2 linked regions of the Mus musculus genome follow. The protein of the gene in region 2 purifies or fractionates together with the protein of the main gene of each other region. This does not show direct contact. Links are inferred from orthologs where the notes say so. Each region holds a gene or a part of one and is shown on either strand. Other genes may lie near its edges.

What was found.
Region 1: the proteins of Ilk (region 2) and Cct4 purify together in Homo sapiens (affinity purification with mass spectrometry; 4 studies listed by BioGRID and IntAct, with this or other methods). This does not show direct contact. The link is inferred for Mus musculus from reciprocal best matches to the Homo sapiens genes ILK and CCT4.

What each region holds. Positions count from the first base shown.
Region 1 is NC_000077.6:22,996,990-23,000,640, forward strand, and holds part of Cct4 (T-complex protein 1 subunit delta), read left to right. Parts: intron 1-43; coding exon 44-165; intron 166-613; coding exon 614-746; intron 747-2,043; coding exon 2,044-2,183; intron 2,184-3,651. UniProt on the Homo sapiens protein: Component of the chaperonin-containing T-complex (TRiC), a molecular chaperone complex that assists the folding of actin, tubulin and other proteins upon ATP hydrolysis.
Region 2 is NC_000073.6:105,735,670-105,739,420, forward strand, and holds the start of Ilk (integrin-linked protein kinase), read left to right. Parts: upstream 1-920; 5' UTR 921-1,047; intron 1,048-1,055; exon of another isoform or gene 1,056-1,137; intron 1,138-1,395; coding exon of another isoform or gene 1,396-1,479; coding exon 1,480-1,568; coding exon of another isoform or gene 1,569-1,632; exon of another isoform or gene 1,633-1,716; intron 1,717-3,751. Other genes in the region: Rrp8 (ribosomal RNA-processing protein 8), read right to left, coding at 1,396-1,632. UniProt on the Homo sapiens protein: Scaffold protein which mediates protein-protein interactions during a range of cellular events including focal adhesion assembly, cell adhesion and cell migration.

The sequences.
Region 1 (3,651 bases), on a different chromosome or scaffold from region 2:
AAATTATTGCTTCTGTAGAAGTAACTTTCTGTTGTAAATCTAGGTTGTCTCTCAGTATTCAAGTCTACTCTCTCCAATGAGTGTCAATGCGGTGATGAAAGTGATTGACCCAGCCACAGCTACCAGTGTAGATCTTCGAGATATTAAAATAGTTAAGAAGCTTGGGTAAGCGTCTCTGATTTCAATTTCAGTTTTGCCAAAACCAGATAACTTTGAAGAACAACTAGGGGTGGCTTATACATTTAGTGCCAGCAATTGATTGGCTGAGGTGGGAGGCTAGCTATGAGTTCAAGGCCAGCCTGGAATAAATAGTGAGTTCCATGACAGGCTGAGCTAGAGTGAGGTTCTGTCTCCACAAAACCCTTTAAAAACAAAGATGTTCTTAGTCCGATTACCTTTCTGCCTGGGCCAGTGGATGTAACATAAGTGAAAATAACTCTGAAAGTGAACATTAGAAATACTTGCTGACTTAAACTTTATTATATATGGTATCCTCAAGGGTTTGCCTGTATTTCCTTATGGTAGGATGGAAGTATATCCAAGAGGTCCCAGAATGGGTTCTGAGAATGAGTAAGACCAAAGCATTTCCTCTGCTCTGATTATTTTTTCCTAGTGGGACAATAGATGACTGTGAGCTGGTGGAAGGCCTCGTTCTCACACAGAAAGTAGCAAATTCTGGCATAACAAGAGTTGAAAAGGCTAAGATTGGGCTTATTCAGTTTTGCTTATCTGCTCCTAAAACAGATGTAAGTAAAATCCAAGCTGGTTTCCTACTTATTAACTTTCTAGTAAGATCTGTTTTTTTAAGATGAAAATAGAAAATGCTGGTATTAGTGATGTCTTTAAAATGTAGATTCAAAACAATAAAATTGAGACAAAATCAGAAATTGTTGCTACTACAAGTAATAAGGTGGAGACTGATTATAGGCATTTGCATAAAATAGAAAGGTGTGTGTGTGTGTGTGTGTGTGTGTGTGTGTGTGTGTGTGTTGTACTCATTCCTTGAGTTTGCAGATTGTGTCTAGCTTCCTGAGATATTACCTGCTGGAGCCCACAAAGATTGTGTTTGTGCAAGTGGAGCCTTAGACTAACTTGATAGCCAAACTATAAAAATTTTTTTTATGAAAGATATTACCATATTAGTATGATTCTCTAAAAAGTGTGTTGGTACCTCAGATTTGTTTTTACTATATTCTGCCAACATATAGGTGTGTTCAGTATTTTGTTCAAAAAAATAGCCATATGAAAATTGATCTTTAATTTTTGTGCATTATATATGATGACAAGCCACAGAGTAAAAAGGATGGAATTAAAATTATTTCTGTAATACATATGGTATGTAGAACAACTTCATTTTGGGGAATTTGGATTTTTCAGTTACCAAAAATGCACATGCAAAAAGTTTCAGAAGCAGTAGAGCCTCGTGTGGTCATATGTATCTATATTCTGGTACTCAAAGGATGGTGAATTCAAGGCCAGCTTGAGCTGTGAGCTACATAGTGAGGTCTTGTCTTTCAAACATACAAAATATCAGTAATGGGTGTGACTGAAAAGAATCAGCTGGGGCTGGAGAGATAACTCAGTGGTTAGACTGCTCTTTCAGAAGTCCTGAGTTAAACTCCCAACAACCACATAGTGGCTCACAACCATCTGTAATGGGATAGGATACCCTCTCCTAGTATGTGAAGATAACTGCAGTGTACTCATACATAAAATAAATCTTATATTAAAAAAGAAAAATAAGCTTTAGCCAGGCGGTACTGACAAATGCCTGGCACTTTAGAGGCAGAGGCAGGTAGATCTCCTGAATTCAAGGCCAACCTTGTGTTTGGAGCAAGTTAAGTTCCAGGACAGCTTTGACTATACCAAGAAACCCTGACTTTTAAAAAAAAATACAAAAACAACTGAAATAAAACATAATAGAATGGTTTATTTTAGACCCTTTTCTGTGCATACCTATATAACTGGTAGGTGTGGGCTGGTCTTTCACTTAACATTAAAATCTCTTGCTGAAAATAATTACTGTGTTCTTGTTCCCATCAGATGGATAATCAAATAGTAGTATCTGACTATGCCCAGATGGATCGAGTGCTTCGAGAGGAGAGAGCCTATATTTTAAATTTGGTGAAGCAAATTAAGAAAACAGGATGTAATGTCCTTCTCATACAGAAGTCTATCCTGAGGTCTGTTCTATTTACTTTCTTCTCCCTGGATTTATAATTGAGTTGGGGATCCTACAAGCAACTTTTAAATAATGTGTATGTGCATTGCATGTGTACAGGATCTGGATCCTTGGAGATCAGAAGGAGGTGTTGGATGCCCCGAACTGGAGTTTCTAAGCAGCTGTGAGCTGCTCTGTTAGGAAACTAGGAACTGAACCCAAGCCAAGCCCTCTGCAAGAGTAGCAAGCACTGCTTAACTACTGAGCCATCTTTGCCTCTACCCAGCAGTTCTTAAACACTTAGTCTCTAAAGCACAGGAAATCTAAAGTGCATATTTTGGTGCATCATATTTTCATTTATAAATACAGGACTATTTTCTCTTAAACATGGCCAGTAGGGTTTTTTTAGATCAAGGCTGTAAGAAAATGAAGGTCTAACATAGTTGTTCTTGCCTGCAGTCCTAGTGCTCAGAAGGCTGAGGCTGAAAGGTTACAAGTCGGGCCAGTCTGGGAGAGAGTGAGATGAAAGTGAAAAGACGAACGGGCTTAGTTTTTGAGGTCACTTGTTGCTCAGGGACCCAAGCTTGCCTCCTAGCATCCACATGGTGGCTCACAAACATGTAATGCCAGTTTCAGGGAATGACACACTCTTCTGAACTCCAGGGACAACAGGCATACTCATGGTTCATATGATTGAGTACAGGCAAAACACTTATTTTTAAAAGGAAAAAAAATGAAAACCACATTTTTTAAAAAGCTGTTTAAAACTGTTTGAGGCGAGGGATATAGCTTGTTACTGCTTGCCTACAAGCCTTAGGTTTGATCTCCAGCATGACTTAAACTGGGTGCTGTGTCACATGCCTTTAGTTTTAGTGCTTGAGGCAGGAGGATGGAGTCAATGGCCAGCTACCAGGTAAAATTCTAGGCTATTGTGGGGTGTGTGAAATTGTCTCAAAACGGTGAAAAAACCACTGCTGAACTAATTAACTAAAAAATAGTATTTGTGGGCACTGCATAGACAAGAGAAGTCTCAAATTTGAACTCATCTTTTTCTTTTTCCATTTCTGGGGTGTTTTTTGTTTATTTTTAAATAGATAGACATATTCCCATTTACTTCCCTAATAAGCTATGCCAGAAGGTATAGAGAGTCCTTTGTAAGCAAGTAAGAGGCTGCTCTAGTCTCTAGTCATTTAGTGGCTCTGCCCTTGAGTAAATTGGTTTTTGCTTAGCTTTGATCAGGACGGTAATGTCTGTCTTGCTGGATCACAGGGTTGCTGTTACTAGGATTGGTTTGCTCGTTTGTGAGAATTGTGCTTCTGAATAATGTAAGCGGTCACCTAGCAAAATGTGCTCACTTCTTAAGAATCACAGCCCACTTGTCATGTACAGTTTTGTGTCATAGTAATTTTTCTAGTAAAATTAGAAACCTTCAGAAGAATTTTTGAACTTCTACTGGGTATAATAATGTCCCAAGCCTTTGATCCAGCACT
Region 2 (3,751 bases):
TGGACTACAGAAATGAGCAGAACATCCTGGGCTAACTGAAGGTCAGGAACACCCCAAGGGGATACTGAAACCCTCATATCTGATGAGGTTCAAAGGAAAAGGCCTGCTTTCCGTGAAGCTGATTTGGGGTTCAAGTCCTGCTGCTTGTCCTCAGCTAGACCCTTACCTTGAGCCTCTTTTGAATAGTAATTCTGATAACCTCCCAGTCACTTGCCTTTACTCTAATATACTTTCTACACTGCCACTAAAAATCCTCTAAAAATCCTTTCAAGACTACGGATTCAGCTCAGTAATAAATGCTTATCTACCACGCTGAAGCCCTGGAATCGATCCTCAGTATATAAAGTGATGCCAGGTGAGAGAAAACTTGGAGAAGCCACTCCACTGCTAAAACAACTCTACTGATTTCTACCCTTAGTGTACAAAAAACTTAAACTTTTCAAGCTCTGCGCTCCACGCTCCACGCTCCGAATCCCGCATTCCTATTTGGACTATCCGGATCTTCAGATCATAACTAACTCCCTCACCACCCCGATCCACGATAGCATTCAGGCTCTCCCTCTAACCAATACGACCCCCGGAGGGTAGGCTTCACCTCCTTCAAACAGCCCAGTGCAGGGCCGCTCACCTTGACTGGCGGGGCAGTCGCCGGCCTAACCTGTGCTGTCGCGGCCCCTAGGCCCACGATGGCTGGGGCCGCCTCCACCCATTCGGGCTCTTCGAACATACCACCCGTAGCCCGCAGGGCCGGAGGAGCCTACGCTCTGGCCCACGTGCAGCGCGCGTCAGGGAATCCTAGGGCTGGAGTCGGACCAAACCGGGCCGGAAGCCACCGAGTGAAATTCTGTGGTAGCTAGAGCGGCCTTCGCGGAGCAGAGCACCATAGAGCGTAGCCGCTGGCGAGCTAGAGAGGCAGTAGGAGGTCGGAAGGGAGGGACCGCGGCCCGCGCTGGCCCGAGCTGGCCGGGGCGGGCCGGGGCGGGGCCGGGCGGCGGGCGCGGCCGGACGGGAGTTCCCCCGGAGAAGGCGCCTGCGGCCCGAGTCCCGGTGAGTGTGGGTAGCTCCGCGCCCTACCCCACGCTGTCTTGCAAACCCGTCTCTGCGATCTCTGCAGCAGTTCTGAGCCGGGGCCGCCGGGCAAGGACCCCTGTCCCCTCCCCCGGGTGTTTGCAGCTTGGGTCCCTTCCCCCACCCCCAAGCCTTGCTCGAGGGCCGGGGCTCAGAGCCGGCTGACACCAACTCGGGAAACTAGCAAAGTCTACCCTACACCCCCAGACCCTCCTGCTCCTCGAGCCAAGGGGTCGTCCGCTGCCCGAAGCCCTTCATAGACAACCACTGTCCCTCTCGCGACGCTCCCCATCCCAGCACTGACACCTCTGTCCTGAGGGAACTCACACAGAGAGTCATTCTCTTGTCTCTGTTCTCCCTCAGTCCCCCGAGGCTTCCCCAGTCCCGGGGTCTCTGTGCCGGGACGCTGCTATGGACGACATTTTCACTCAGTGCCGGGAGGGCAACGCGGTGGCGGTGCGCTTGTGGCTGGACAACACAGAGAACGACCTCAATCAGGGGTGAGCTGAAGCGTTGGCGAGTGAGACGGCTACAAGTCCTCTCTCCGCTACTCGGGGTGCTCATGTCTGGCGGGGGCGGCTGACTTTGCTATCCAGTGTAAGGAGTAGTAGTAGTAAGCAAAGCCTGTTGATGGAGGAACGTCTACACAGAGGAAGCTGTCGGAGTTGGGTTTGTTTTTTTTTTTTTTTTTTTTAAACTAAGTTTCACAATCCGGTTCCCGGGAACTTTGCAGCCTCTATGAACTCATGTCAGAGGCAGACCTGAGTGCCAGAAAATTGTCTGGAATTACATGTAGCTGGAGGATGAGTTTCTGCGCCCTAGAGCGTTGGGTAGAAGTGGGAAAGGATATTAGAGGTCTAAAGTTCTGAAGCTTATGTAGTGATGAGAGTACCCATTTGTCAGGCGTCACCCTGGACGCAATTGCCTTAAAGTGATGTTTTGGATACAAGAATTGAGACAGGGTTGGGGTGAGAGCCCTAAAATCATAAGGATGAAGTAATTGAGTTGGTATGGGATGTGAAGGGGTTGTCAAAGATGACCTGGGGTTTAAAAGGAGGTTTGGGTACTTGGATACTTGGCAGTTGCTGAGGTTCCATTATGGACTGGCCACAGTTTTGGTGACACTACAGTGACTTGGAAACGCTTGGCAGGTTGTTAGTCATGCAGATTTAAAGTTCAGGAGGTCGGATTGGGAGACCAAGATGCCACAAATAGCATTTAAATGGTATCTGAAGACTCTATAATGTGGAATGTAGTACCTTAGAAGAGTAGAAAATAAAGGCAGAGGTTGAGAAGCCTGGCTGACAGGGAACAACCATCAGAATAAGAAATAAGAAATGGATTAAGATTAGAGAATGGATGTTTTAATAAAAGAAGAGTGGTTAATTGTAGGCTACTGAGAAGTTAAAGAGCATGGATGAGCATTTAAAAAGTCTCATTTCACTTACATTTAGGATGAATTTGATCTTTTGAATGCTATTGCAGAACAGTAACAGGAAAGTGCATTACAGTGGGTTCCTTCACATAAGGAACCACTTGTGGTTGCTGCTAGAGTCTTTGAATCAGACATAATCTACACGCTAGAGATGGCAGGCTTCTCAGGGAGAAAAGTGAATGGGAGGTGAGGAAACAGATACTATGAACACTTTCTGAAATACTGGCTGATAACAGAAGCAACAAGTGCAGTGTTGAGAGTTTAGTTCGTAGTTTTTGGTTTGCTTTTGGAGACAGGGTGTCATGTAATTCAGAATGGCCTCCAGCTCTCCATCCTACTGCCTCAATCTCCTGAGTGCTGGGATTCCCATTTGTTGCCACTGTATCTGACTATAAGAGTGTATTTTTTTTTTTTTTTTTTTTTTAGGTTGGGAAGGATCATCTTTGGTCCTAGGCTAGGTTTCACTAGCTTTCATTAGGCTGTATGTTATTTCTCTGCTAGATTCAAGGTTATTTGTTTCATTTTTTCCCACATAACTTGTGTGCTCTGGTAAAAACTAAGCTGTCCTGTTTTGTTGGTAAGAAAATAGAAGTTTAGGCTGTTGTCCAGTAGGAGTGGCATCTTGGAAGACTCCTTGCTGTCAAAAGGTGAAGGATATCATTAGGGAAACCAGAAAGCTATGGTGGCTTGAGGGGACAGGGCGTGGGTGCTGGAGGTGGTTAACTCCCTGAAAGCTTTCTTGAGATAGAGATCCAGGCCCTGAGGTGACCGTCCTCAAGCTTGGGCTTGCTTGGAGGCCACAGACTTCTGGAAGTTGTTCAGTCAGAACATGTGAAATCTGGGAGACAAGAGTGATAGCAAGGGATAGACTTATATCCGGGAAAAGCCTTTGCTGAGTTTAACAGATGAGGGCAAACTAGAGGAACAATTATTTAAAGCTACATACTTCCTTCAGCTGTTGGGGGATTCTAGTTGACCAAGCCAGGATCAGCTCAAGGCCCCTCCTCCAGTCCCCTCACAGGAAGTGACCACAGCACTAAAGTATCTGGAGGCTGCAGGCCTAGACCACAGACCGCCCCCTGTTCCGCCCCTCAGATCTGCATCCCTGGGCTGGAGGGAATTTCCTTTTATGGCTTCAGGCTGTCAGTTTGACCCAGCCCATCCAGTTGTTTTGTTTGTACACTTCTCTTTATAAAATATATGTCCTTAGGGGATGAAAATACAAATCAGGTAACGGTTTTTATTCAA